Rattus norvegicus: one gene and its partners. The protein of the gene in region 1 interacts with the protein of each later gene in a pairwise test. Links are inferred from orthologs where the notes say so. Each region holds a gene or a part of one and is shown in the gene's direction. Other genes may lie near its edges. The genes, in order: Homez, Lnx1, mrpl11, Aen, Med18, Snrpb2 and Mad2l1bp.

The links.
Region 2: the proteins of Homez (region 1) and Lnx1 interact in binary tests that used the Homo sapiens proteins (3 or more experiments, as listed by UniProt). The link is inferred for Rattus norvegicus from reciprocal best matches to the Homo sapiens genes HOMEZ and LNX1.
Region 3: the proteins of Homez (region 1) and mrpl11 interact in binary tests that used the Homo sapiens proteins (3 or more experiments, as listed by UniProt). The two-hybrid records come from large-scale screens. The link is inferred for Rattus norvegicus from reciprocal best matches to the Homo sapiens genes HOMEZ and MRPL11.
Region 4: the proteins of Homez (region 1) and Aen interact in binary tests that used the Homo sapiens proteins (3 or more experiments, as listed by UniProt). The two-hybrid records come from large-scale screens. The link is inferred for Rattus norvegicus from reciprocal best matches to the Homo sapiens genes HOMEZ and AEN.
Region 5: the proteins of Homez (region 1) and Med18 interact in binary tests that used the Homo sapiens proteins (3 or more experiments, as listed by UniProt). The two-hybrid records come from large-scale screens. The link is inferred for Rattus norvegicus from reciprocal best matches to the Homo sapiens genes HOMEZ and MED18.
Region 6: the proteins of Homez (region 1) and Snrpb2 interact in binary tests that used the Homo sapiens proteins (3 or more experiments, as listed by UniProt). The two-hybrid records come from large-scale screens. The link is inferred for Rattus norvegicus from reciprocal best matches to the Homo sapiens genes HOMEZ and SNRPB2.
Region 7: the proteins of Homez (region 1) and Mad2l1bp interact in binary tests that used the Homo sapiens proteins (3 or more experiments, as listed by UniProt). The two-hybrid records come from large-scale screens. The link is inferred for Rattus norvegicus from reciprocal best matches to the Homo sapiens genes HOMEZ and MAD2L1BP.

What each region holds. Positions count from the first base shown.
Region 1 is NC_086033.1:32,306,675-32,310,895, reverse strand, and holds the start of Homez (homeobox and leucine zipper protein Homez), read left to right. Parts: upstream 1-1,421; 5' UTR 1,422-1,446; coding exon 1,447-1,471; intron 1,472-4,221. UniProt on the Homo sapiens protein: May function as a transcriptional regulator.
Region 2 is NC_086032.1:33,867,159-33,871,370, forward strand, and holds the start of Lnx1 (E3 ubiquitin-protein ligase LNX), read left to right. Parts: upstream 1-1,412; 5' UTR 1,413-1,517; intron 1,518-4,212.
Region 3 is NC_086019.1:211,692,555-211,696,606, forward strand, and holds the start of mrpl11 (large ribosomal subunit protein uL11m), read left to right. Parts: upstream 1-1,252; 5' UTR 1,253-1,328; coding exon 1,329-1,451; intron 1,452-1,949; coding exon 1,950-2,045; intron 2,046-2,414; coding exon 2,415-2,508; intron 2,509-2,595; coding exon 2,596-2,755; intron 2,756-3,851; coding exon 3,852-3,957; 3' UTR 3,958-4,052.
Region 4 is NC_086019.1:142,223,177-142,227,332, forward strand, and holds the start of Aen (apoptosis-enhancing nuclease), read left to right. Parts: upstream 1-1,356; 5' UTR 1,357-1,649; intron 1,650-4,156. UniProt on the Homo sapiens protein: Exonuclease with activity against single- and double-stranded DNA and RNA. Mediates p53-induced apoptosis.
Region 5 is NC_086023.1:149,949,873-149,953,921, reverse strand, and holds the start of Med18 (mediator of RNA polymerase II transcription subunit 18), read left to right. Parts: upstream 1-1,249; 5' UTR 1,250-1,399; intron 1,400-2,119; 5' UTR 2,120-2,190; coding exon 2,191-2,263; intron 2,264-4,049. UniProt on the Homo sapiens protein: Component of the Mediator complex, a coactivator involved in the regulated transcription of nearly all RNA polymerase II-dependent genes.
Region 6 is NC_086021.1:150,859,334-150,862,833, forward strand, and holds the end of Snrpb2 (U2 small nuclear ribonucleoprotein B''), read left to right. Parts: intron 1-667; coding exon 668-718; intron 719-2,152; coding exon 2,153-2,241; intron 2,242-2,681; coding exon 2,682-2,841; 3' UTR 2,842-3,029; downstream 3,030-3,500. UniProt on the Homo sapiens protein: Involved in pre-mRNA splicing as component of the spliceosome. Associated with sn-RNP U2, where it contributes to the binding of stem loop IV of U2 snRNA.
Region 7 is NC_086027.1:22,328,394-22,332,498, forward strand, and holds the start of Mad2l1bp (MAD2L1-binding protein), read left to right. Parts: upstream 1-1,305; 5' UTR 1,306-1,311; coding exon 1,312-1,366; intron 1,367-1,746; coding exon 1,747-2,012; intron 2,013-4,105. UniProt on the Homo sapiens protein: May function to silence the spindle checkpoint and allow mitosis to proceed through anaphase by binding MAD2L1 after it has become dissociated from the MAD2L1-CDC20 complex.

The sequences.
Region 1 (4,221 bases):
TTGGGTTAAAGGCATGGACTAGGGCTGAACCACACCACAACTAGAAACAGATTTTTTTTTCCCCAGTAAACAACACAATGTTGGGATTCACAGTGTGATCAGAAATCCTGCAACACCAGGACCACCAGTCCAGGGATGGCACCATCTGCATGGGCTGGGTCCCCTCCATCGATCACTAATTAAGAAAATGCCTTATAGGCTTGTACTTTTGGAAGCATTTTCTTTCCTCTTTTCCTCCCTCTTTCTTTCCTTCACTCTATTTATTTCCTTCTTTCTATTTGTTTTGTTTTTTGAGAAGGGGTTTCTCTGTGTAATCCTGGCTATCCTGGAACTCACTCTGTAGACCAGGCTAGCTTCCAACTTAGAGATCCACCTGCCTCTGCCTCCCAAGTGCCAGGATCAAAGGTGTACACCTGACATGGAGGCATTTTCTTAATTGAGGTTACGTCCTCTCAGATGACTTTAGCCAGTGTCAAGGTGATGTCTTTATGACGCTATGTAACATAGTACCTTTACCCGCTGAGCTGTCCTCCCAACCCTAATGGAGTCTTGGATCATGTAAACGTTGGGTGAGAAAGAGGTACAGAGGGTTTGGCAACCCTGACCCAAGACACTCCAATCAGATCCTTTTACCATTTTGGACAGTGGGAAAGTCTGGAGGGCCAAGCTCTAGCTGCCTGGCACCCAGCACGAGCTGTGTGGTTAAAGGGACCAGCTTGGGAGAAGCTAATTTCCTCTTAGGTCGGGATGCTTCATCTACTAATGGAATCAGCCACAGGGTAATGAGAACAGCAGACCTGATAGGGAAGCCCTAGTTTGTAGTGTAATTCTAAGTAAAACCATTGTCTAGGGTAAACATTAGCATGGAATGGTTTTCATTGTATCTCTGATAAATAATAGAATGAATAGTTCTTTTCTAGAAGGACGTAGACCTGGAAGGAATTATTGTGGAAAATGGCGGTTGTTTCCTGTGATTGATAGAGTTGTATTACTGAAGGAGCTTCATGGCATTTCCATGACTTTGGTCACAGCTCCAGGCACACCTGGAGTGCTGTGCTTTATTGGGTACTGGAGACAGCGTACAATAAACATGAAGTCACAGAGGTGTGATGTCTCCTTCCCTAAACATAGGTCAGGTCAGGGGCTTTGTTATGAGGAACCAGTTTCACCCAAACACTAACTTCTCTGTAACAATCAGTAAATACGCCTTTGTACAGTTGTTCAAGATTCAGTCTGCAGTGGCTGGCTCTCCCTGGGGCCAGCAAGGCCTTACCACATCCTTGAGTGGCCTGCTTTCTTCCATCATGAGACTCAGAACACCGACACTGGTTGGAGCACAGTCACTGGCCTCCTCATTACGTCATAATAGTCGAGCTGTGATGTCATTGCACAGCACCCACTCAGTACGTTTTGAAAGCGAAGTACATATGTGAAGGAAGAGTCAGCATGAGGACTAGACACCCAGAGAGAGGTAGGTGGAGGCTGGGCAGGGCTTCCGTGGCCCTAGCCTCTTTCCCAACTTGGACATCTTAGTTTGATGGTGGGTTGATCTGAACTCTTTCTTTTTTTTTTTTTTTTTTTTTTGGTTCTTTTTTTTCGGAGCTGGGGATCGAACCCAGGGCCTTGCGCTTCCTAGGCAAGCGCTCTACCACTGAGCTAAATCCCCAACCCCTGAACTCTTTCTTTCACAGAGAGCTTTAATGTAGCTTTTCCTGTTTCAAATCCATCCCAGATTCCCAACACCTGCACTGGTGACCATTCAGCCTTAGAGCTCCCCTGACCTCTGGCATTTCTTAGGAGAGGAGACACCAAACACTGGACGAAACCGAACATGGTCATTTGGTTACACAGTCGAGTAAAACTTCTGTATCCTAAAGTATACAACTTTTAAGAAGAAAATACAAATTTTATTTTTTAAGATTTATTTATTTGTTTACTTATTTACTTATTATCTGTAAGTACACTGTAGCTGTCTTCAGACACACCAGAAGAGGGCGTCAGATCTCATTACAGATGGTTGTGAGCCACCATGTGGTTGCTGGGATTTGAACTCAAGAACTTTGGTAGAGCAGTCAGTGCTCCTAACCACTGAGCCATCTCTGCAGCCCGAAAATACAAATTTTAAATACAAGATTGGGCATAAAGTGAACGTTTAAGGACTGGGGAAATGCAAATCAGTTACAGTTTTTAAAAAGCTGATGAAAGGGGGTCAGTGGTAGAGCGCTTGCCTAGGAAGCGCAAGGCCTTGGGTTCGGTCCCCAACTCCGGAAAAAAAAGAACCAAAAAAAAAAAAAAAAGAGAGAGCTGAGGTGGAGAGCTATCAAGGAAGATTTGGCATCAATCTAAAACACTCGTGAACCCCCACATACATGCACGCTACCAAAAAAAAAAAAAAGCTGATGAAAAATTACCTACCTGGCAAACAATTTTTTTTCCATGTGTTTGGATACCAAAAAAAATCAGATTGAACTTTTTTGTTTTTGTTGTTTGTTTGATGGGAGGTCTTACTATATAGCCCCAGCTGTCCTGGAACTCACTATGTAGACCAGGCTGTCTTCAAACTCACAGAGATCCACTTACCTCTGCCTCCTGAGCGATGGGATTAAGGGTATGCACCACCATACCTGGCTTATTTGTGTGTGTTCAAGACCCACACATAGAGACAGAGGGCAACTTTTTGGGATGGCGTCCCTCTTCCAGGGTGTGGTTCCCCTAGAATGAAACCTAGGTCAGCAGGCCAGGCAGCAGGCGCCTGCACCCATCGCGCTGTACCCACCCTGCTGCACTGACAGCCTTTTCATAGAACAGGTAACTAATACTTACTGCAAAGAATAAGGTTCTGAACCATGGTGGCACACGTCTCTAATCCAGCACGGGGGAGGCAGAGGTAGTTGGATCTTTCAGTTAGAGGCCAGCCTGCTCTTCAGTGAGTTCCAGCACAGCTAAGGTAACAGAAAAACCCTGTATGGAAAAACAAACAAGAAAGGATTTCAGTTTTCTAGCATACTGTTAATTTTCAGGTTATGGTAATTTTAAAAGAATTACACATTGTGACTTGTGGAGTATCCACCAGAGAAGACTGCCCGGACACGGGTTTTAGCCAATAGGAAGTCTATGAGTCAGCTGGTGACAATACTGGGTACTCAGGGTCCCAATAGAGCTCTGATCCTTTCTCAGAGTGAGCTTTTAAGCACAAAAACCATGTCTTCAGTTAACAACAGAAGTGGAACTAACAAGCTAACAAGCAAGGTTAGTATATCTTGAGACTTTCCCAGAACTCTCATCAGCTTCGATGGATTGGGCCTTTGTTTTTGTTTAGCAGGAGGCTATCTCCGTGCTGAGTCTTACAGCCTAAATGGTATTTCCATCATGGAGTCAGTTGTGGCAAGGTCTGGGGCCTGTTACAGTGATTATGTTATAAAAAAATTTCAGGGGGTTGGGGATTTAGCTCAGTGGTAGAGCACTTGCCTAGCAATCGCAAGGCCCTGGGTTCAGTCCCCAGCTCTGGAAAAAAAAAAAAAAATTTCAGACCAAGCATAATAGCTCACACTGGTAATTCTAGCCCTCAGGAGGCCAATGGAGAAGAATTGCCTGGAGGCAAGGTTAGCCTAGCAGGTGAATGAACCTTGGCTACTATTGAGAATGTGTCTTAAAAGACAGACAGCATTTTTTCCAAACTCGGAAAAATGGACCATTTCTTTCATATTTGGTGTAAGGTATTAGACTAGGGATGGCAGAACAAAATGGCGGAAAGGAAGCATCTTGTACCTTTTTTTTTTTTTAAAGATTTATTTATTTATTATATATAAGTACACTGTAGCTGTCTTCAGACATACCAGAAAAGGGCATCCAATCTCATTACAGGTGGTTGTGAGCCACCATGTGGTTACTGGGATTTGAACTCAGGACCTCTGGAAGAGCAGTCAGTGCTCTTAACCGCTGAGCCATCTCTCCAGCCCCACCTTTTTTTTTTAAACATTTATTTATTATGTATACATCATACAGCGTTCTGCCTGCATGTATGCAACTACAGGCCAGAATCAGGGCACCAGACATGATTACTGATGGTTGTGAGCCACCATGTGGTTGCTGGGAATTGAACTCAGGACCTCTGGAAGAGCAGACAGTGCTCTTAACCGCTGAGCCATCTCTCCAGCCAAGCGCTCTACCACTGAGCTAAATCCCCAACCCCTATTTTTTTTTCTTTTCATGTAATTAGTT
Region 2 (4,212 bases), on another chromosome or scaffold:
GCTCGGTCCCAGATGGAGAGGCTGCTTAGGCCTGCCTGGGGCGAGCCAGTGTTTGGAAGTTGCCTCCTGCACTAGATTCATCTTCCTTCTTCTTCCCTCCCCATTTGCTTTACAAGGTACTGAGTGACCGACAGGGAGCCAGCTACCAATGTGGACACTCAGGGATGAGGTGTTTTTTTCTATTTCTTTCTTCAACTGCCCCACCCCCACCCCCCACCCCGGTCCAGCTCACAAACCACTGCTAAGTGGCAAGGTATTAGAACAGGTAAAGCTTACAGTTTTGAGATCAGAAGGGGGAAGGTGTTTTTCAGCAGGTGTTTTCTTCCTTAAGGGACAAAAGTGTGGCTGGACCAACCTAGGAGAGAGAACTCCCCAGTGTCCTCAGGTAGCACATTCCGGAGAGTGAATAAGTCTGCGAGGGAGGCTGGCTGCGGGCCACAGGCGCACAGCAATTCAACAGGCTGATGGGACAAGATGCCATAGGCCTTAACCAGCAGGCAGGAATCCTCTTAGCTGTCACTCAAGTGCCAGCTGAGTCCTGCCATTAGCCTCTCTTTCCTGCTGGAAAAGCTGAAGCAAGCGTGACTTATCCAGGGTCACACACCAAGCTTGGGACCAAAATAACTCTGACTCCTCTTCCCTAGCTCTCACAGCAGACAACAGCGCCTTAGTAAGGCGCTATCATTCTAACCTGAATCATTTAAAGTACCCCTAATTGCAGGCCTACTGTGGACTGTAACCACCAGGTGACAGACAGACCGAGAGGTAGGAATGACTGAAGTTTTACCAATGGCCAAATCTATTATTAATATAATACACTGGGGACTGCGAGGGAGTTTGGGAAATGATGCTGACAGGCATCGAACTTAGATTTTTAAGGCTTGTCATGTCACCTCCAGTTTTGTTATAATATTGGAACAGAAAAAAAAAAACACTAGGAACTCAAAGGGATGCGATTCAGAAAGGCATTAGGGGGGTAAATCCCAGATATAGCTAAGTCTTCTCAACCTTTTTCTTTTTTTGCACCTACAAAAATCCCTGTGTTTAAACTTCCCTTTTAATTCTGGTGTTGGCAGCTGTGTGGGCCTGTGAGAGCCCTCGGAAAGAATATCAGGCAGACGAAAAGGGCCTGGGAAACAGTCAGGCATACCCATTCAGATCTGTACACGGGGCTAGACACGTGCTCTGCTCAGGAAGGAAAGTAAATTCCGACCAGCAAATTGCTCTAACTGATTCATTTGTCCTCTGAGAGACGCCACCTACCTGCTCCAAGGTATTCAGGTAATTGACAGGGGGCGGGGCCTCCTGGGCTGTTTTAGTCCCTAAAGTCTCAGCCAGACTTCCGTGATGTCACAGATTTCCTGTTCTGAGCCAACCAATGCCCTCCTTCTTCCTCCAGCCACCTGTACACCGAAGTTGAGACCAGTCACAGCTCAGGCAGCCCTAGAAGCTTCTGGCACAGGGATGGAGGCGGGCTGGTGACTGCTGCTTTGAAAGCCCCAGACATCTTTGAACAGGTGAGCAGGAACTATTTTTTCCTCTCTTGGTTTTTAGACCCCTGACCCAGAAGGGATCTAAATGAGGAATCTGAATGAAAATTACAAAAGAAAAAAGAAAAAGAAAGAGAGAGAGAGAGAGAGAGAGAGAGAGAGAGCGAGCTCACTGAATGGCTCAGTCCAGAGTAACACTCTGAGAGTAAAGATGTCTGTAACAGTCTTATTTGTGACCAGCAGTGTTGTCTCGGCCAGATATTTAATCATTTTTGTTTCCTGATTACTAATCCAGCCTCTGCTTGTTGTGAAGTTGATTTGATTCTTTTTAAAACCCCAGAGAAAAGTGAGATGAGATGCTCTTTGAAAGTTAGTTCAAATGTGCAGACCAGTCCAGCCTGTTTTGTGTGTGTGTGTGTGTGTGTGTGGTGGGGGTGGGGGTGCTGGGGACACTCACAAAATTCAGATTGTCTTTTTTTTTTCTTGCCTTCTGCATTCATCTCATCTGAAAAGCTGTAATACTTCCCTAGGTTTTGTTGTTGTTTACAACAGAAAGTCAGTACTAAAGCTGATAAATTCTGGCTCCCTGTTTATAAGTTCTCTCTCTCTCTCTCTCTCTCTCTCTCTCTCTCTCTCTCTCTCTCTCAAAAGCCTTCAGTTTCCTTTACTTGTGGAAAACATTTAGCAGTCTGGATTAGAACTCTGTTTACCTACTTTCAGGCCCGACAGGCTGCCTGCTGACCTTTGGTTAAAGTAAAGATTACCCTTCAAGGCCACAAGAATGTAGCCCCAGGTCTGGGTTTGAAACTCTTCTGTTGTTTCTACCTTGCTCTTAATATAGTAAATATATGGAGGAGACTGTTCTGCCAGGACCTGACTATAAAAGTAATTGTACCTCAAGGACCCATATTCGTTTTTCTAATCCTGATCGTGTAACCTGTTCTCAATGGGCAGGCACCCCCACCAGCTAATATGATTAACAAGAGCAGAGGAATAAATCCCCAGTCCATCTCCTTATCAACTTATCTGGGAAACTCGGGGAGAGAAATAAATGAACGAGTCTTTTCATTTCATAGGCCTTCGTTAGTTGCATTAGTTAAGTTAGCAGATGGCTTTGTAAGGAAATCATCTACTAGGAGTTAAGCCCATATACAGCCCTCTAGAAGTTAAAAGAACCTGCCAACTGTCCAAGAGTGTATGAACGGAAACAACTAAAAAGTATCGCCCTTGAACGGCTGCTTCTTTCTTCCTGGTAAGCATCTGCCTCCTGCTTGTTGCCAGTTTCTTTCTGATTCTTGGGAAGCTCATAGTCTCTTCTCTAGTTGACCTTTGTGCCTTATATTGTCCTCTAAGCTCCTGTGTTTGCAGAGTAACTGTTGTTGATGCCTTAGTAACATTCTCGGTTGATTCAGAGGTTTGTGAGCAAAGTGAGAAAAAGATTCCTCATAGCCTGGAGTTTTGTAGGTGTAAATTTGTCCTTGATGTTCCAAACCTCTGCAAACTTTCACACACACCCCTCTTTTATACCTGGTTAATTAGTCATTTTTACAACAATGGACCTATGATTAAATAACAAACTATTTTGTCATTGTCTCTAACTGCTTAGAAAAATATTATATATAATATATATTATATATGTATATATATAAAATCCCCCCCCCAATTCAAGAAAGAGAAAAAAGGGGACAGAAACCAGAGTCCCAGTGTCTAGCATAGGGGTCGAGGCAGCTCGTTGGATAACGTGCATGTGTCCTTGAGAAGTTGCTGTGACATCTCCACTAATTTGGGTGTATACAAAGTGCTAAAGGAAACAATATGTATTTCCTTAGCAAATTACTGGACTTCTCTGAACCGCCATTCCTTTCTCAGTAGGACGAGAGATAAGTACCATGTGCTATAATGTGGTTCTCTGAGTATAGGTGAGCTTGGAGTCAGGGACAAATAAAAGACAAGTTCCTCTCTGCTGGAAGAAATTTCCTGGGAGCTTAGAGGACTTGTGTGAGCCCATGTAGCTCTCCTGTGGCTGCAATGGTTCAGGACCCGGCTCTTATTACTGTAATTAATTGTCAGTAATTAACCCCACTGCTAACAGTTTGGAGAAACACAACAGTCCAGAGGGAGGAGAATGAACGGGCTGTCATTCCCTGAGCCAGGCAGCGTGTGCCTGCCAGCCCCCTTGGCCCTTGGTGAAGCAAACTCTGGAGTGGTCTCTCTTCCTTCTTGTGATCTCTTGACACATCCACAAAGTGTGAGTTCTTAAAGGCTGTCAGGAGAGGTCATCGTTGTTTGGAGGGCAGGGAGCCCAGACTGTTTTAATCATGCTACTACCCTGAGTGGCCTTGGGTACTTGGTCCCCTCTAATCTTGTAGGTAAACATCTTCCACCTCAGACTCCATGAGCACTTGGCCAAGCCAGTGTGAGAGGTGACAGATAATTTGCAACCTGTACCATTCTGTGGAGGGGGAAGGCTCGTGGGTCCTTTGGATAAGATCCACACATTTAAGTAGAGATTTTTTTAAAGATTGATCTATTTATTATATATTAGCCCACAGCAGAAAAGGGCTTCAGATCTCATTACAGATGGTTGTGAGCTACCATATGGTTGCTGGGATTTGAACTCAGGACCTCTGGAAGAGCAGTCAGTGCTCTTAACCACTGAACCATCTCTCCAGCCCCCAAGTAGAATATGTTGAACCTGTCAGTGACCTTGAATCATTGCATC
Region 3 (4,052 bases), on another chromosome or scaffold:
ATGTACATGTTTCTGCATGCATGTCCCAAAGTGCCTAACTACACAAGGGAGTGAGAACAAAGACTACAAACACCACTTGATTCAAATGCCATTCCCTAGAAAGCAAGTAATGAAATCATCTGCTTCCAATAAAAAGAAAGAGAGAGAGAAAGAAAGAAAGAAAGAAAGAAAGAAGGAAAGAGGGGCTGGAGAGATGGCTCAGCGGTTAAGAGCACCCGACTGCTCTTCCAGAGGTCATGAGTTCAATTCCCAGCAACCACATGGTGGCTCACAACCATCTGTAAAGAGATCTGATGCCCTCTTCTGGTGTATCTGAAGACAGCTACAGTGTACTTATATATATAATAAATGAATAAATAAAAAAAATTAAAAAAAAAAGAAGGAAAGAAAGAAGGAAAGAAAGGGAAGCGATAAAGTATGCCTAAGAAGCTAGTGGGAAATTAGGTCTGACTGGAATGAGGGTTCAGAGACTGCGTTTCAAAAGTGCCGGGAAAATTTCTTCCCTTTGTACAAATAGTGGTAAATGCCTTCTTGGTGCAAGTATTGTTCTAAAGCAACGTGTGTTACTGAGCTGTCACAATGATTCTGAAAGGTACCTATAGTATCCGTGGTGCCCAACATGAAATAGCTAACAGAAACAGTAACCTAACCCTAGCCCTAACTTTTTGTCTAGCTATAAATCAGGTTCATAGCTAGAGCAGCAGTCTACGTTTCGTTTCCGTCTATAATCATATTGCCTTTCATGAAAAACACACACACACACACACACACACACACACACACACACACACACACACACACACACACACACACACACACACACACACACACACACACACACACACACACACACACACACACACACGAAACAAAAGACTCAAGGGACTCCTTTGAATAACTTGCTCCATTTCAAACACTAAGATATCACTGTGTCCAGCAGATGGCAACCCAGAGCTCAGTCAACAGCAAGCGCAGGATAAAGAGCTAAAACTACAATACTACAATACCTACAATGCTGTGCGGAGACTCAAAGTCCTGATCTCCTGTTTGGCTGTCTAAGGCGATGCCTGTGGGCACTGCTGAAGGAATGTGTATACTGAAACCATATATGTTCTTGTCCTGACTTCAGAGCGCAAAGTTCAATTCATTTTTAAATTCCGTAACTCGTTTTTCAGTCGAAGAGCTGTATGCCTGAAACAAGACTGTTCTTTTTTGGCCACATTTACCCTAGCCCAACACGAGGGCCCTTGACCTCTGACCCAAAATGACAGCGCTCAGATCGTAGTTCTTGACTTCTCCGAGGCGGACTAAGGTTAAAATCCTATATCATGTCGAAGCTAAGCCGGGTCACTCGGACCCTCAAGAAGCCCGAGGCCGGCGGCGTGATCCGGTCCATCGTGCGAGCAGGCCAAGCTATCCCTGGGCCTCCATTAGGTCCCATTTTGGGTCAGGTGCGGTGTCTGGAAGCCGGCTTGGGAGACGTGGGAGAGTGCTCTGGAGCCCGGGAGGTCTCCTTTATAAACCTGTCTCCGCTATTCACACCTTCAGGCCTTAGGTTCTTGTATTACTTACGTAGCCTCTTTTGACCATCAAGTTGGCTACTTGCTGATTAAGTGGCACCTTGTGGACGAATCGCCTGGCACCCAAAGCCGTAGTTGAACCTGGGTAGAAGAAATATCGGAACACAAAAAAAATGAAGATGGCGGGGACGGGGGGACTGGAGCTCCTGGTTGATAGGAAGCCTTCAGCTCCCACACTTAACTTTGTTTTTTTTTTTTTTTTTTTGTCTTGTTTTGTTTTGTTTTGTTTTGTTTTGTTGTTTTGTTGTTTTGTTTCCGGAGCTGAGGACCGAACCCAGGGCCTTGCGCTTGCTAGGCTAGGCAAGCGCTCTACCACTGAGCTAAATCCCCAACCCCTCACACTTAACTTTGTATATGCTTTCCTCATAGCGAGGTGTCTCTATCAACCAGTTCTGCAAAGAGTTCAATGAAAAAACAAAGGACATCAAAGAAGGCATTCCCTTGCCTACAAAAATTTTTATAAAGGTACAGAGACGAATTCTCCCATATACTTCCTTGGCACTTGAAACTAGTCATCCCGGTTGCTTCTCTGTCCCTAACTTGGTTGCCAACTTCCACTTCTCATTTACACAGAAGCCTAGACCATAATTTCTCTGAACTGGCTTGATCCTGCCATATTGTGATTCTGACCTCTCATCTCACAGGGGTTCCAGAGGAGAATTGTGCTAGGAATAAAAATGACAGGGATGTGGACTGTAGATCTGCCCATCCTGCCTTCTCTGGTGTTAAAGACAACACCGCAGGAATGCAAGTTGATGGGAAGTTAAGGGACATTAGAAATGTCTTGGACCAGATAGAAAACCAAGAAATTCTCATGTATCTTTTTCTGTTAAGCCCGACAGAACATTTGAGCTCAAGATTGGGCAGCCCACTATTTCCTACTTTTTGAAGGCAGCTGCTGGGATTGAGAAGGGGGCCCGGCAAACAGGTAAGGGCTACAGGGGGCACCTGAGATTCTGATGTATCCAGAGAAATAGTGGCACTAGAAGAATGACGACCTGTTCCTTCTTCCCAGGGAAAGAGGTGGCAGGTCTGGTGAGTTTGAAGCACGTATACGAGATTGCCCGTGTCAAAGCTAAGGATGAGGCTTTTGCCATGCAAGATGTACCCCTGTCTTCTATTGTCCGTTCCATCATTGGCTCTGCCCGCTCCCTGGGCATTCGTGTGGTGAAAGAGTGAGTATCTTGAGAGGAATGGTGTACAAAGGAAACCAAGAAAGTTCTTGATTTGGGAGAAAGCCTATTGCAATGAAAAAGTCAGGTTTTTTTTTTAAATTTATAGCATATATTAGTTAAGCATATTAACTTCGTTGTGACATTTTCATACATGTCTAGCTTTCTAGCAGACTCTAGCAGAAGGATATGGAGCCTCATCTCGTTTGGATGAGTATCTCTTCTGTAGTAGACATGGCTCTGGACACCGCACAGAACCAGGAATGAACAGTGGTGCTCGGCCACTCTGGAGAAATATGTAGTCCTAAATAGAGACAGATCCATACATAGAGGCTTAGGCTAACAGGTGGTCAGTTATAAAACCAGTGGATGTCATGAGAGCAGAGAGGAGAGTTCCTGCTTTTCCCTTGTGTCATTGATGACTCTGAGGGAGGTAACATCAAAACAGCCCAGGAAAAGGAGGGTAGGAGAGCAAATGTTCCAAAAGGTGGAAAAATTGCAGGGAACAATGAGAGATAAGGTGTTGAAGCTAAGTTCGTTGTGGTTTAGGAGTCTCGTCTAGAGAGGCAGATGGGATATGGCCTGAGGGAGGGACCAGACAGAAGGGTCTTTTGAGCCAACAACCACACAAGTCAGCTGGCTTTGGATGATCTCAGGAATCGTTTCCTTGAAGTAACTTGTCAAGTAGGAGAGCATTTGGCCCAGAGCACAGCAGAGGCAGGAACTGGGTCAGTCATCACTGGTTGCTTGCTGCTGGTGTCTTTCCCTACAGCAAGGCTGGCATCAGTTGTACCTCAGGGGTGAGGTTAGAGCACAGTCTGCCTTAAAGTATGCAGCTCTGTGACTCTCTCACTTGAAGTGTTTGTGGCTCAGAGGAAGGGCTGGGAATCCTAAAGGTATAGTAGAGGCCACAGGTTCCGTAGGTCTTTAAAATAGGAGCCACAGTAGAGGATGGTAGTGTATGTGGGTTGTGGTTCCAGGCAGAGAAACTGCAGATGAGCAAAGGTAAGAAAGTTGGAAAGTCCAGGGAGGGACGTGGGCAGGGCAGCTGGGGTCTGCGCCAGGCTCCGCCCCTCACTGACCATCGCTCTTCCTGTAGCCTCAGTGTAGACGAACTGGCAGCTTTTCAGAAGGAACGGGCCGTGTTTTTGGCTGCTCAGAAAGAGGCGGATTTGGCAGCTCAGGCAGAAGCTGCCAAAAAGTGACCCCAACCTTCTACACTCTGAAGTGAGAGACTGAGAAGGGGGCCCACCGAGGAAGCTGAGCCAAAGGACTCCATGGCAACCCGATTTATAGTTTC
Region 4 (4,156 bases), on another chromosome or scaffold:
ATCCCACCAACAATGGAGGAGTGTTCCTCTTTCTCCACATCCTCGCCAGCATCTGCTGTCACCTGAGTTTTTGATCTTAGCCCGATTATACAAATTTTAAGGGCAGTTTGATACTGTCAGTTTAGCAAAACAGTAGTAGATTTGATTCTGGGGTCTATGAGCTCCTCTAGCTTTTCCTTTTTAAATTTATTTAAAAAAAAACCTATTTTGTGTGTGAGTGAGTGTGTGTGTGTGTGTGTGTGTGTGTGTGTGTGTGTAGGTGTAGGGACTGGGGTGGGTGTGGGTGGGTGAGTATGCATGCCCGTGCATGTTAGAGGACAACTTCAGGGAGTTTCTTGTTGTTTGGGGTATCTCGTTTCTGCCTACCCTAGCTAGCCAGAGAGCTTCGGTTAATTTTTCTGTCTCCATTACCATCTCACTGTAGCACTGTAGGAGTACTCTGTCTCTTCCCCTCCCCCTCTTCCTCTCCCTTCCTTTCTTCTCTGCGTAGCTTTGGCTGTCTTGGAACTTGCTCTGTAGACCAGGCTGGTCTGGAACTCAGAGATCCACCTGCCTCTGCCTCCTGAGTGCTGGGATTAAAGGTGTGCACTTTAATCAGCTTTCTAAGAAGGTCCAGGGATCAAATTCAGGTCATCGGGTTTACCGAGCAAGCACCTTTTTACTTCCGAGGCAACTCTCCCATCCCCCTTTTAAAAACTTTTCATAGGGAAATGAGTATATGAATAAAATATGCAAAGGAATACTTAATATGGGTGTGGTGGCAAAATGCTGTAATACCAGTATTTAGGATGTCAGAGGCAAGAGGATCAGAAGTTCATTCACAACTATACAGAAAATACGAACTTGATACTGGAAAAAAGAAGGAAAATGAGACAGCCTGGGCTACAGGAGATCATGTCTCGAAAAACAAAACAAAAAATAAAAAAACACAAATTAAATAAATATTGAAAAAGCAATGCAGAAAAAGCAAACCTGATTTTTTTTTTCAAGTTTAAAGAATACTGTATTATTTCACCCGGTTCTCAGAACTCCGAGACTGGAGAGGCTGCAGTTCACCCTAGGCAGATTTGGGTGTGCACCTTGTGACTTTAAGTCTTTGAAGTTTGACGTTCACTAGGCGTCAGGTCAGAAACCAGACGTTCCATTCAGTTTTTTACTAACCTCCTAAACATTGCCCTCTCCCGGCGCAGACCACGCGCTCCTCCTACGGTAGCCCCACCCCTTCTGACTGGCACGCCTACTCCAGGAGGAGCAGGATCAGCCAATCCGAGGAGGCCTTAGGCGGGCCCTACGGCCCAGCGAACCAATAGACAGGCAGCCGAAGCCGGGCATGTCCGGGCAAGCAACTACTGCTGCCGTCAAGGCTTCCACGTGAAAGCCGCAAAGTGCGGCCCGGTCTTCAGGTGAGCTAGGGGACCGCCACAGGGAGCCCCGGGCTGCGGGTTCCTGTCGCCAGCCTCACGTGGCTCTCGGGACCGGGTGGTGTGCAGCCAGGCCGGAACGCGGCCTCACGCGGTCTTTCCCAACTTGGAGCCGGTGGGCATCAGGGGACCGCGTGGACATTGAGCGTCCACTGCACGCCTCAGCTGTGAGGATTGCGGCCTGCCCTCATACTTAAAAAACAAACAAACAAACAAAAAACTGGTCAGGTAAGCTTTTGGGTAGCATTGGGGACCTTATTGCGCCAGCCTTTCTCAAACTGGGGTCTTCACAATCGTGACTTGAGGGTGGGGTCTCGGGTCCTGTCCCAAAACTTTGCCTTCTACCTAGGGCGGTTGATGGTTAAGGGACAGTGACTTTCTGATGTCATCAGGTTATTTCGTGCCAGAACAGTGTCTAGACGGGCCCACTGACGGAGGTCGGGTCTACCAGCATGGCAGGTGGGACCCTTATGCCAGTGACGATTCTGGCCTTGCAGTTTTTTGGGAACCTTCTCATCTGGAGTCCTCTTGGGTCAGGGACCTTCACATGAAGGCCAAGTGCCTTCCATACTGGCCAGAGAGAGTTATGATGTGGAATATCTGTACGTGGCTTTGCTAAAAGAGCTGTGTCCTCTGAATACTTCTCTCCAGCTAAACTGAGTGAGTGTCATTCAGGGCTTTGGGCTGTGGAAGTGCGTTCCCGTGATAATTGTTAGTTCTGGCACGTCCACAGGTTCAGGGACTATAGGAAATGACTGCCTTTATCTTTTCAAACAAATGCAAAAATACGGAGACCTCTACTCCGGGGAACCTAATTTTAGCTTCTTTCAAACCTTGCCAGCAGGGGGTAGGAGAGTCCATCCTCCTGCCCCCAACCGGAAGTCCGTGATCAGCAGGGCTAGCACAGGTCTTCTAGGCCAGGTTTTCTCCCTTTGCTGGACTAAGGCAAATTGAGTTTCTGAATTTTTGTCAGTTCTGAGATGTGGTTTGTGGAAATGAGGAAGTTGCTGACAACCTCTTAAAAGACAGGGTACTATTCAGAGAGCAGATGAGCAAGCCGAGAGCAGTTGTGTCAGCATGGGTCACTGAGCCTCCCCCTGGCTAAGTGGACCATTACTCCTAGTGCACATGCTGGCATCAGCAAACACAGACTGTTCTTTCCTCCCCGCTGCTACTGCTACTCCACCCTGTGTCTTAGGGTTCTACTGCTGTGAGCAGACACCACGACCAAGGCAGCTCTTATCAGGACAACATTTAATTAATTGGGGCTGGCTTACAGGTTCAGAGGTTTAGTCCATTATCATCAACATGGGAACATGGCAGCATCCAGGCAGGTGTGCGACTGGAGTTGCTGAGAACTCTACACCTTCATCTGAAGGCAGACAGAAGGCTGTCTTCCAGGCAGCTAGGATGAAAGTCTTAAGGCCCACGCCCACAGTGACACACTTCCTCCAATGAGGCCACACCTCCTGGTAGTGCCACTTCCTGGGCCAAGCATATGCAAATGTCACATCTTGGGCTCCTAGTCTGACCTCATCCTCTGATGAGGTAACCACGATGTCCCCTGGAGTCCTCCAGTGACTCAGTACACCCCCTGCTCCCTAGGTGTTTACAGGCTGCACCAAGTTCTTTGCCTACTCTCCCTGGCTCTTAGGTCTGTGCTTGTCAGGTTTCTCTTTTCTGAATACTCTTCCCACCCTGGGCTTCCCGGCTCTCCTTAACTCAAGGTCTCTTCCCGGTGACTGCCCAGGTTCTCAAGTTCCCTTCCTGTTGATCCGTGGTTTGGAGGACTTCGAGCTCTGTAGTACCCTCCAGGCCTGCCACTGGGAGGCCCAGCTTGGGCTTCTGAAGCCATGAGAGAGGGACAGCAAACACAGTGGGGGCTCTGCAGCTTGCTGACTTGAGGGGACTCTGAGGAAAGCTGCCTGTTGTCTGAGGAGGGCAAAATCCAATGTACTGCAGTATGCAGGATGACCTTCTTTATTCTCCTCATAGACAGTTAATAGCCTGGATCAGTGCTGCTTGGTCCACATTTTACTGGCCCACCTTGGTGCCTTGGGCCTCCCTCACTTCACCAGCAGACACTAGGCTGAAGACACCAGTATGGGTAAGGGTGGCTTGTGGAAGGACCGCTCAAGTCAATGGCAGAAGGTGAGGTGGTAACCCACCAGACAGTTATAACTGGTGACTTCAAGTTGCTGCTGGCCCCTCTGCCCCAGCATGAGACTAGTCAGGCCTTTGTCCCTGGTGTTTCCATTGCCCACTCCCTCTTCCCTGTAGGGTTACTGCTCCCCATTTACTCGGAAGTGACTTCTGGGATCATCTGCAGCTCTTTGCCTTCTTTTCCTCCTTGTATGGCTAGCCGGCTCTCAGCGCACTGTCTGCCGCATTTCTGTGTCTGGTCCAACCAAGCTTCCCGGCCCGGGATCCATCTTTGTAACTGTCCAGCACCTGGCACAGTTGGGACCCCAGGGAACCTCTTTGTAACGTTGGGGAGATCCAGGGGTTTCAGAACAGCATTCCGTGATACAGAACTGTGTCTGAAGGCGTTGGAGGGGTGTGGTTTGGGAACAGCAGTGAGTCCACGTGGAGGTGCTCTGGCCCAAGGGTAGCTGGCGTCTGGCGTAGGAAAGAGTAAGCTTTGCTGAGGAAAAGGCAGAAGGGTGTGTGTGTGTGTGTGTTTGTAAGGGAGGGAGAAGTAGACAGACTTGGGCACAAGAGTTTATAAAGACCCA
Region 5 (4,049 bases), on another chromosome or scaffold:
CTTCTATCTAATTATCTACCAATCAATCTATCAATCAACCTTCTATCTATGTATCGATCTATCTATCTACCTACTACCTATCTATCTAATGTATATGTGTGCCTAAATGTATGTACACCGTATATGTCCTGTATAGATGCCCATGGATGCCACATGAGGGTGTCGGTTCCCATGGAACTAGAGTTACAGGTAGTTGTGAGACACCTGATATGGGTGTTAGGGACTGAACCCAAGTCCTCTGAGGAACAGCAAGTGCTCTTAACTGCTGAGCCATCTCCCCGGCCCCCTAGTTATTTTATATTTTGTGTTACGAGTGTTTTGCAAGGGTGTATGTATGTGTACCACAGGGATGCAGTGAGTGATGTGGTCAGAAGAGGTAACAGATCTCCTGGAAGGGGAATTATAAATGATTGTTAGCCACCATGTAGGGATTGGGGACCTCTGCAAGAGCAGCAAGGGCTCTTAACTGCTCAGCCATCTCTCTAGCCCTAATTAATTAATTTTTGGAAAAAAACCCTCAAAATATTGTTTAAGTGTTGAATGGCTCTGCTGGAGAGATCCTTACCGCAGCCTCCTGAGGTTCTCAGATTCGGACTGTGCCTGGTCCCACGTATTTAAAGTTGTGGGTATGCATGGAAAATCGAACGAGTTTGCTGTTGTTCTGTATTAAACTTATGGCCTTGCACATACCAGGCAAGGCTCTAGCACTGAGCTGTTTCTCCAGACCCTTGAAAGCACACAAGAAAATATTGTTCCTGCTGGGGTCTATAAATACACAACGCTGTGCTTAGCGTTTCCGATTTGAAACATACTTCCCTTCTTTTTTTAAATTTAATTTAATTTTTAACTTACTTTACATCCCGCTCACTGCCAGCCCCCACCCCACCCCCCTGCCCTTCTGATCTTTTTCACTGCGACTCTTTCCCTCCTCGCTCCCCCCAGTGGCTGAGTTCAAAATTTAAATATTGTATCCAATCAGTTTCAAGAGATCTGATCAAAACATCCAGGTCGCCGAAGCTGAAAAAAAAACAAACAAAAAAATCAAAAACCGTTTCCTAGAGCTGTCCTATGACGTAAAGGCCTACAGTAACCTTCCAGTGTACCACTCTAGACTAGGACCCCAACACCGCAGCGGACCCGCACTCTGCGCGTGCGCTCTTGCACACCGGTGCCAGAAGGCGGGCGCCTTCCTTGCCCTCTCGGCACCCTTACTTTTCGGGGCGGTAGCGAAGAAGTTTCCTGTCCGTCAGCTTCCTACCGGAAGTGCTGAAGGGAATGTTTGGCGGTTTCTCTGGATCTGTGCAGGAGGGATTTGGGGGTGCGGATTGCGGGTGTGCACGCGTGGATTTAAGTCCAGCTTTGCATGGATCTGTAGCGCGAACGGAGACGTGTTGCTAGTGTAAGTGCACACGTGTCCCGGATCCCCGAGTGGGAGGACCGGTGCAGTCACTTTAACTTCATGTTTCCCGCCTGGCTCGTTTGTAAAGGCGTTTTCAAAAAGGCAGAACCAGTTCTAGTCTGATCCCGGCGTGTGCTCTCACTGAGTCTCCATGGCCTCTGCATAGAACGAAGGGTAGACAAGGTTCTTAGGTCTTTTGGTTTTTTTGAGACAGTCTCACTGTGATGCCCTAGTTAGCCGGGATTTGCTATATAGACCAGTCTAGCCCGAAGCCGCAGTTGTCTTCCTAACTCTGTCCCCGAGTGTTGAGATTACAGATGTTCCCCTAACACGACCGGCTTTTATTTCTTTATGTTTGGAAAGGAGGCCTCTCAGCGTAGACCAAAGTGACGTCACCTTTTTTGAATATGTATGTCGGTTCTTTCATTTGAGCCGCATGGGGGTGGGGGAGGGTCTGTGTGGTTATATGCCCCGGGGTTATTTTAAAGGAGCAAGAGGTTGCATAGCTGCCTCAAGGTGACATAGAAAAACTTTTAGAAGGTTCAGAACTTGAGACTAGATGGTCATTCTGGATCACCAGGGCCAGACCTCTCTTGTTTCTGCGTCACCCGTTCTTGGAACCGGCTGTATAAGCAGATATTCAAAGTTATGAATGAATGAGCTTTGGTTTCAAGGCCAGTGCCACAGAAAACAGTGGATGGACAAATGTGACTCTTCCAGGTGTATCCCGTGCTTCCCCGGTTGGAAGATCTGTTTGCAGTTCTGTCGTCTTGAACCTAATTAGAGGCATCATGGAGGCACCTCCAGTCACCATGATGCCAGTCACTGGGGGCACCATTAACATGATGGAGTACCTCCTGCAGGGTAAGTCAGCCACGGAGCATGCATTACCAAGTTTTCGTTCCTTTTCTTGTTAAAGCAAGTCAAGATGACTTACATAAAGGCAACTGCACGGTTCCTGTCACCCAGTAATTGCGTTTAGAAGAGGTTGGGTGGGAAGATGGCTCAGTGGCCAGAAACTCATTCTGTAGACCAGTCAGGCCTCAAGTGCCTGTGATCACAGGTGTGCTACACTTGTTTACTCTCTCTCATTCATTCCCTCCCTCCCCCTTCCTCTCCCCTCCCCTCCCCTCCCACCTCCCACCTCCCTTCTCTCCTCTTCTTTCTCTCTCTCTCTCTCTCTCTCTCTCTCTCTCTCTCACACACACACACACACACACACACACACACTCTCACTTTGTTTCTCTAAGCAGGGTTTTCTTCGTGTAACCCTCACTGTAGTAGAACTTGCTCTGTAGACCAGGCTGGCCTGGAACTCAGAACTACGAGGTCCACCTGCTCTGTCTCCCAGGTGCTGGCATCACAGGTGTGGGCCACCAGCACCTGGCTTTCATTTATTCTCTTTCATCTTGAAAAAGTAAAACTCAGGGCGAGGAGAGACCCTTACAGAAGTCCTTGGTTCAATTCCCAGCACCCTCACGGCAGCTCACAACTGTGTGTAACTCCAGCTGCAGAGGAGTTGATGTGATGCCCTATTCTGGTCTCCATGGATTCAGGCACACAGGTGGTTTACAGATAAACTGGAAGACAAAACACTTCCACACGTGAAATTTAAAAAAGAAATAATAAAATTAAAAAAAAAATTAAAACTCATACTGAGTCTCCCTCTCTCCCAGCTCTTTTATTTATTTTTTTCTTTTTTTTTTCTGCTCTTTTATTTTTTTTAAGATTTATTTATTTATTTTATGTATATAAGCACACTGTAGCTGTCTTCAGACACACCAGAAGAGGGCATCGGATCCCATTACAGATGGTTGTGAGCCACCATGTGGTTACTGGGATTTGAACTCAGGACCTCTGGAAGGGCAGTCAGTGCTTTTAACCACTGAGCCATCTCTCCAGCTCCTCTCCTAGCTCTTAACAGTTACCTTTCCACTGTATTTCCTTCCTTGGCAACTTAGATGCCCCACATGAGTGAGGTCCCTGGTTTTGTGACTGACTTATTTCTCATAGCATTATGTCCTTGATAACCTATGACACGATTTAGGTTGTTTTTGTTGTTTGGAAACAGGAGTATCACGTAGCCCAGGCCAACTTATTTTTTTTTTTTCAAATATAATTAAGATTTTTCTTTTAGGATTTTAAATCTTTTTTTTTTTAAGATTTATTTATTTTATGTATACACTGTCGCTGTCTTCAGACACATCGGATCCCATTACAGATGGTTGTGAGCCACCATGCGGTTGCTGGGATTTGAACTCAGGACCTCTGGAAGAGCAGTCAGCACCCTTAACCGCTGAGCCATCTCTCCAGCCCTAGGATTTTAAATTTGTATGAGTCTTTGTGAGTCAGAGGTCAGACAAGTGTGTCCAGTTCCCTGGAAAGGAATTGTGGGTGATTGTGAGCCACGGTTTGGGTGCTGGTGGAAACTGAGCCCAGGTCCAGTGCTCTTAGCTACTGAGCCACCTCCCCGACCCCTGGACTGACTGGCTCTAACATCCCTCTAACTGGCTGGATGGCCATGGACAGTTGGGACCTTCTGCCCTTCCGTCCTGAGTCTAACTGCATACATGTACTGTGCATGCTGACTGGACTGTCTCTGAGATCTAGCCTTGTTATTTCGCTTTTCATTCATTTCCGTATGGGCCTC
Region 6 (3,500 bases), on another chromosome or scaffold:
CCTATAAATTGTACATAATCTCTTCATCATGAGTGTCCTACTCAGAGCTTCTTTGACCAATTACAGGGGCAACATTTGTGATCTCTAGTAAAAGTAACAGTATAAAACAAGAGTAGTTACTTCTGGATTAAAAATGATCAATTTGACTCTGTATAATGTCAGTTATAATGTTGTTTTTAAAAAGCAAGACTGTTCCTTTTGTCCTTCATTATTTTTTATTTTATTTTATTTTTGAGACTCCTAGATGGAGTCTGCCCTCAGATGTAACCCTCACAGCACACTTGGTCTCTGCATCATTGACAGTTTAAACATGAAAGCAGGGTGTGGTATTGGCACACCTTTAATCCCAGTTCTCAGGAGGAAGGGGCAGGTAGCCTGGTCTACACAGTGAATTCCAGGACAGCTGAGCTACATAGCGAGACTGTCTCAAAAAGAAATTCAAGTGTTAAGTTTTATAATGTGGTCTGTGGAGTTGAGGGATAAGAATAACATTTCAGGAATAACTAACAAACTAAATACTTAAGACATAAGATCTTAAACTGAAATGGAGTAAGATCTTTACAGTTATTTTTATGTTGTTTATGTTATATTTATGTTATAAATAGCACTTGCTTTTTTAGCAGGACTGAAATTTAACCATTTCTTAATCTCAATATCTTTTTTGTAGGGAACACCAAATTCAGCTAATACTCAAGGAAATGCAGCACCAAATCCTCAGGTAATGTTTTCCTCCATAGAGTGTTTGCCTTATAATAAAAATTACTGCTATTTAAAATAGTGTACAAGTCTTCAAAAACAAGTAATTCATTTGCAAGGCATAATTGCTTGTCATTTTAAGAAACTCGCTCTTCAAATCATGTAAGTTTCCTAAGACAAGCAAACAAAACCTGGCCTGACCACTTGTTTCCCATGACTCGGTGACAAGGCAGAAAGTGTGAGAGCTGAGTGATTGAAGGCACATGACAGAGTACTCGTGAGGCCTGTTTCCATCCAGGTCCTGATGCACTGCCCTGTCTTTTTCAGATTCACGTTGGGCAGCGGTGGTTGCCTCCTCTTCCCCAATTCAGCCTCATTTTTATATTTCCTGTTCTGACATGACCCACACCTCTGTATCACCAAGAAAGTTAGAATATTAGAGTTATATGCTTTTAATTTTTTTTCTCTCCTTTGTTGCTGGAGATTGAACCCCTGGCCTAGACTAGACAAGTGCTGTACTACTGAGCTGCCCACCACCCTTCAGCCCTACTGAGACAGTCTTGATATACTCTCAAAACTCTCAGTCCTCCTGTCTTAACTTCCTGAGTGCTGGGATTACAGATATTATCGCTATACCTGATCCTGTGCTTTTTCTTATGATCTTTCTTTCTAGTCTTTGAACTCTTAGAACTTGTAGTCAGTTCATAAATACCAGCACTTGATTCTCTGTCTTTACTTGTTCACTAATTGCTTTTTATACTTGGTCTTTCCCTCCATGATACTACCAAGTAGCCAAGGTATCTTCTTATGTATAAATCCTTTATATACTCCCTGTAGTTTCAGGTTGGGGTATCAAGGACATGACTTAGTATCTAGTATTCTGCTTGTTTCTGTTTGTTTTAGATAAGTAGATGCAACTCATACCATTTACTGTGTGTGTGTGTGTACACATGAACTCACTAACTCACACACACATACACATCAACACACAGAGTAAATATCAGCAGGTTGTGGTTCTCAGTAGTAACACTAGTTGTAAATTATCTCCTGTTCTGATAGTAATCAGTGGTGCCCAGGACTCACACCCCGTAGTGTGAGCTAAGTAGAGTGACTAGCTAAAGAGCCTGATGTGGCTGCCTTTCCTAGTTTTTCAATTCTCTATTCCAGGTGACAGAATTCTCCAGTCATGACTGACCCACGGGTGTTTCATCTATAAATAGTTTTCCCAGAATCATAACCTTCCAGATTTGGGGTGTCCTGGCTTCCATGCTGGCCTCAACTGTTGTTAAGTTTCTAGCCGTCATTGTTCTCAGCTTTCTTCCGTTGTGTTCAGATTTCGTTGTGTTCATTGTGAGCTTCAGTGGCGTTCTCTGCAGATGAGGTTTTCATGTTTCTTAAACCAAATACCTTGCAGTACAGATTTTTCCCAGGTTAACTTGGTCTTTTGTTTTAATAGGTCCCTGATTACCCTCCAAACTATATCCTGTTCCTTAATAACTTACCAGAAGAGACGAATGAGATGATGTTATCCATGTTGTTCAACCAGTAAGTTATTGTTGTTGTTGTTGTTGTTTTAAACCAAACATCTGTTCATAGGAGCCTCCTAACAGGACAACTAGCACTTCTCTACATTGAGGTCATTTGTCACTCCACAACAGTCGTTCTCTGCAGGGTCATCGATTTAGTCTGGGATTAGTCATGGATTGAAGCCAGTCTCAGGCTTAGAATCTAAAGAGCTAGCTGTCCTCTGTTGGAATTATTCTCATGGATAAAATGGGAAACAAACCTTTAACAAGACAGAAGTAGAATTTGTGGAATTAGCATGTACTCATGGAATCCCTCCATGGTAAACTTTTATGTCAAATGCCTCTATCCTACTTGGGATTCCTGGTTGCATGTGATTGTTTTTCCTAGACCAGAGTGGGAAGTTACTCAACAAGTTTACGTATGCATTTGCCTGTGTTTATTGCTTTTGTTTTTCCTAGGTTCCCTGGTTTCAAGGAAGTTCGCCTGGTCCCGGGGAGACATGATATTGCGTTTGTAGAATTTGAAAATGATGGGCAGGCTGGAGCAGCCAGAGATGCTCTGCAAGGGTTTAAGATCACACCATCCCATGCCATGAAGATTACCTATGCCAAGAAGTAACACGGGGAGTGCCAGTTTTAAAGGACTTGGTATTATTTATAGCTTTTGTTTTAATTATATTCAGTCAAGTTGTTTGAAATGGTTGGAAGTGAAGGTGAAGTTTTGGAAAAAGAGTCACCTAATTTTTTTTTAGTTTTGGTGAACTATGAAATACAAAGCCTTAATTTTGTACAATAAACTTTTATTTGTATTCTGTTTACTGGTCTATTGTCCTACCATGAAGCACTTATTTTCCTACACATTTGAAAGTATGTAAACCCCCAGAGTGGGGGTTTAGGTCACTTTGGAGCAGCTAATGATACAGACGTTGAAGGGAACAGATTACAGCACCCAGTGAGCAGCATGTTAGTAAAATGATCACCCCGCTGTGAGTACACAGCACAGTTGCTTCCTGTGTCCAGGGCACAGTGGACCGTACAGTATTAGTGGCCATGTGATAATAACTGCTTACTGTTGTCTAGAAAAACAAGAAATGGGATTGCTGCCTGCAGTGTGACATTTACTTTTTCCCTTCTTAAAGGTTAATATCTAGTCTCAATTCTGGATGACTTTCAGTCAAGGGTCCCAGGGTTGGTACTGTCTGCGTATAATTCCAGCATTGTGGAGGCAGAGGCAGGAGGATTACTGCAAATTTAAGACCAGTGTTAGCTGTTTACATG
Region 7 (4,105 bases), on another chromosome or scaffold:
GAAAAAGTTTACCCATCCCCCTACATGAGATCAAGTTGAAACTTCATCACTTAGGAAGTCCTGTCATGACCTTGATTCTGTTTATCTACTCCCACCTTAATGATTCAGGAAGGCCTCGAACTCAGAAATCTGCCTGCCTCTGCCTCCTCCTGAGTGCTGGGATTAAAGGTGTGCACCACCACTGCCCATCTAAAAACCTTAACTCTTTTTTTTTTCTTTTTTCTTTTTTTTTTTTTCGGAGCTGGGGACCGAACCCAGGGCCTTGTGCTTGCTAGGCAAGCGCTCTACCACTGAGCTAAATCCCCAGCCCCCTTAACTCTTTATAGTATTGTAAGGGTCCATGATTCGCCGAAGAATTATACCCTGGCCTCAAATAGTATGTAAACACAAAGTGGGTTTTTTTCTGCTGGGGTCTCCCATTACCGAGATAGAAAGACCCGAAGGGAGCTCACAGGTGGATTTAAAGCATCTTAGGGGAATTCCGGGGAGGGGTAAGTGACCTCTATCTCGCTCACTTAATCTCAGCTCTATCTCTAAGGACATTCCTGAACCATTGCTGGGGCTGGGGCTGGGGTCTGGGGGTCTGGAAACTATTGCTGGGGAAGTGTGGAACCTGTTGCTAAGAAGTCTGGAAACTGCTGCTGACTAGGTGGCCGGGCAGCTTCTGATGGCAGGGCAATTTTGACCAGCTGCCTTAAGTCGGGGATTTTTTTTCCCCCTAGTAATTGACTTGCTTGAACCTGCCCGGTTCTTAGGCATACTCTCCTGAACTGCCTATTTGAATTCTCCCACGGAGTCAGCCTAGCATTCTCAGTATAAACTTCTTTGAGTCTTTGAAAAGAGAGTGTATCTCTCAAGATCTCACTAGGATTATCCTTTTTACCCAGTCACAGTACATACATTCCGGAAACCACCCTTTCGGGCACCTAACCCCGCCCTACCCGCTTTGGATCAGGTGCCCCAGGCCAGGCATGAACCTCTTAAGAACAGGGCTGGAGAGTGGCTTGACAGCGGCTGCGTCTCCAGCACCTAGGACAGGGCCCTGGAATGAAGCAGACGCCGGGAGAGTGAGGTGTTCAGGGAACTGGAGTGAATGGATGCGTCCTTAGAAAGGCAGACCCAGCCCTAGAGGGATGAGCCAAGCGCTCCCTGGCCTGGGTGTGGCTCAAGTCTTCTCAGTCCAAGCTTCACCATTCAGCGGCCGTGCTGAGTCCCTTCCGGCTGCTAGGAGCCGGAAGTGGAGTTTAAGCTTCCCATGATCCTTTGCGCGGCGTCTATTTTAACTGCAGGACTACTAAGCTGGCAGTCACGATGGCCGCATCCGGGCAGGAGGATCGGTCGGAGCTGTCCCCTGCTGCTGCCCCAAGTAAGACGTGGGATCCATTACTTGGGAGCTCGCTTCTTCCCTGCTGCTACCTCCCCAGAGACATTTAGTGGTTGACATTTCCTCCGGCGTTCCTTCCTATCCCAGTGGTTCCCGGTGTCCCAGTCCTCCCTGTCTCTGCGAGTTGCCCTGGGTGGAATTTTTCTTCTGTTCTGTTCCTTTGGGTGTCCTGGCCCCAACTCGGAGCAAAGCCTCCCTAAAGTCCCTCTTCTGGCCCTGATGTCATTTAAATCGCCCCCAGCCCGGATCAGGTTTCCTGTCACTTATGGGAGTGTCTGCTGACTGAGCCCCTGGGAACAAGAAACCTAACGCTTATTGTGACATCGCCCCTCCTTTCTTTACCTTTTTCATTTATGGACTAGATTTGGATTGGACTGAGAAACCGGAAGAAACTCGTGCACCCGGGGTAGATCTTGAGACCGTCATCCCGCCAGTCCAGGAACCTTCCAATTCTGTGGAGCCCTTTTGCCCAAGAGACCTGGTACCGGTGGTGTTTCCTGGACCCGTGAGCCAGGAAGGCTGCTGCCAGTTCACTTGTGAACTTCTAAAGCATATCATGTACCAACGCCAACAGCTCCCTTTGCCCTATGAACAGCTGAAGCACTTCTACCAGAAATCTTCTCCCCAGGTATGTACAGGCTTCCTGAGAAAATTCGGAAGACTTATGGGCCCTTAGATGGTGGGCAACTAGAAAAGTGACCTAAGACGTCTCAGCCTCCGTGGAAGTCTAGGCTTTTGCAAAGGCTTCCTTGCCTCATTTTCTCTGCACTTGGGTCTCTGGGTCTCTCACTTTTTTCGCTTGTTCTTTTTCTTTTTTCTTTTTTTTTTTTCCGGAGCTGGGGACCGAACCCAGGGCCTTGCGCTTCCTAGGCAAGCGCTCTACCACTGAGCTAAATCCCCAACCCCTCTTGTTCTTTTTCTGAGATTCTTCCTATTATGTGGTGTATACGGATATTATGGATTTGTTCTTTAATTTTTTATCGGGAATAGGATTTCACTATGTAGTTTAGGCTGGTCTCTGAAACCTGGCTACCTCAACTTCCCCAGTGACTTCTGAGGTCACAAGTGTGCTTCACCACATCTGGCCTTTCCTTAGACTAGATGGTCTCCGTCTGCCTCTTTTTGTCTCTCTTTCCCTCTCTCCCAACCTCCCTCCTTTTTTCCCTCTCCCTGTCCCTCTCCATATCTCCACCTCCTTCCCTCTAGCTTCTCCCTCTCCCCTCCCTTCTCCAAGGCCTCTCACATGCTACAATGCTATGTTACTGAGCTACATCCCCAGACCTGAACCAGCTCTTTACATTTGAAGTTCTTTTTCTTACCACATTTTACCTCTCTTTCTGGTTTTGTTTTAGTGTGTTTTGGAAGAATTTCTAGGTTTCAGATTCTAATGATTTTCTTCATCTTCTCTTTCTTTCCTTCCTCCTCCTCCTCTCCTTTCTTCTTCTCTTCTCCCCCTCCCCTCCCCTTCCCTCCCCCTCCCCTCCCCCTCCCATCTCCTCTCCCATCTCCTCTCCCCCTCCCATCTCCTCTCCCCCTCCCATCTCCTCTCCCCCTCCCCTCCCCCTCCCCTCCCTTTCGCTCTCCTCTCCTTCTTCTATTAAGACAGGGTTTTTTTGTGTTACCTTCATTGTCCTGGAGCTCACTCTATATAAACCAGGCTGGCCTCAAACTCAGAGACAGATCGACCTGCCTCTGCCTCCCGCGTGCATGAGCCATCTCCTGGTCCGATTAGCTTGTGATTTTCAGTATTCCTCCCACCTCAGCCCTGGGGCTGGGATTATAGCTATCATGCCCTTCAGGACCATGAAATTCTATTTTTTTTTTTTTTTTTAAGGATCCTTCCCACTTTCCTCTTGCTCCTCCAAGTGTCTCCTACAAGCCTTTTCCTTTGTGTCTTTCGGCTTTCGTGGTTGGTTGTTTTATGTTGGAATGTTTTACTATCTGGTAAATAGAATAAACTGTTGTCTGATGCCTGAGCCTTATAAGGTAATTATACCATAAGGAGATCTCCTTGGAGAACTCACCGAGGGCCAGGTGTGGTGCTCTAACCCCAGCAGTCGAGAGAGAGGCAGGCAGACAGACCTCTCTCTGAGTTCTAGACCATCCTGGTCTTCACTGGCAGTTCCAGGACAGCTGAGGTACACAGGGAGACCCTGTCTTAACAAGGGAGAGAGAGAGAGAGAGAGAGAGAGAGAGAGAGAGAGAGAAACTGTCCCTTGAGAATTCCTCACACAGGTTTGTGTTCAGTACTGCCCCTATGCCTTCTGCAGTGTCTCTACTGCCTAGGGTTCTGCAGTGTGGACTCTTCTCAAGCTTCTTGCCTTCTGGCCTATATCCTGTATTATTTCCTCCTTCCCTTACTGAATTTCTGTACACAGTATTTTAGGAGGGAGCAGGTACTAGTAACTGTGTGTAATTGAGTGAGTGGGTTTGTGCATTCGTGGGTGCGTGCATTCATGGGTGCGTGCATTTGTGGGTGCAGGGGTGGTGATGGTGCTAGGTACTGTTTTCCACCTCATTGCCTGAGACAGGGTCTCACTGAATCAGAAGCTCAACACTTAGGCTGGCTGGCCCACAAGCTCTCGGGATGTCTCCGCCACACAGTGCTGGATGTGACTGGGTCTTGAGGATTTAAACTCAGATCTTTGTGTTTGCAGAACAAATGCTTTTACTGAACCATCTCTCCAGACTTTTTTTTTTTTTTTTGGAGTGAGGACCGAA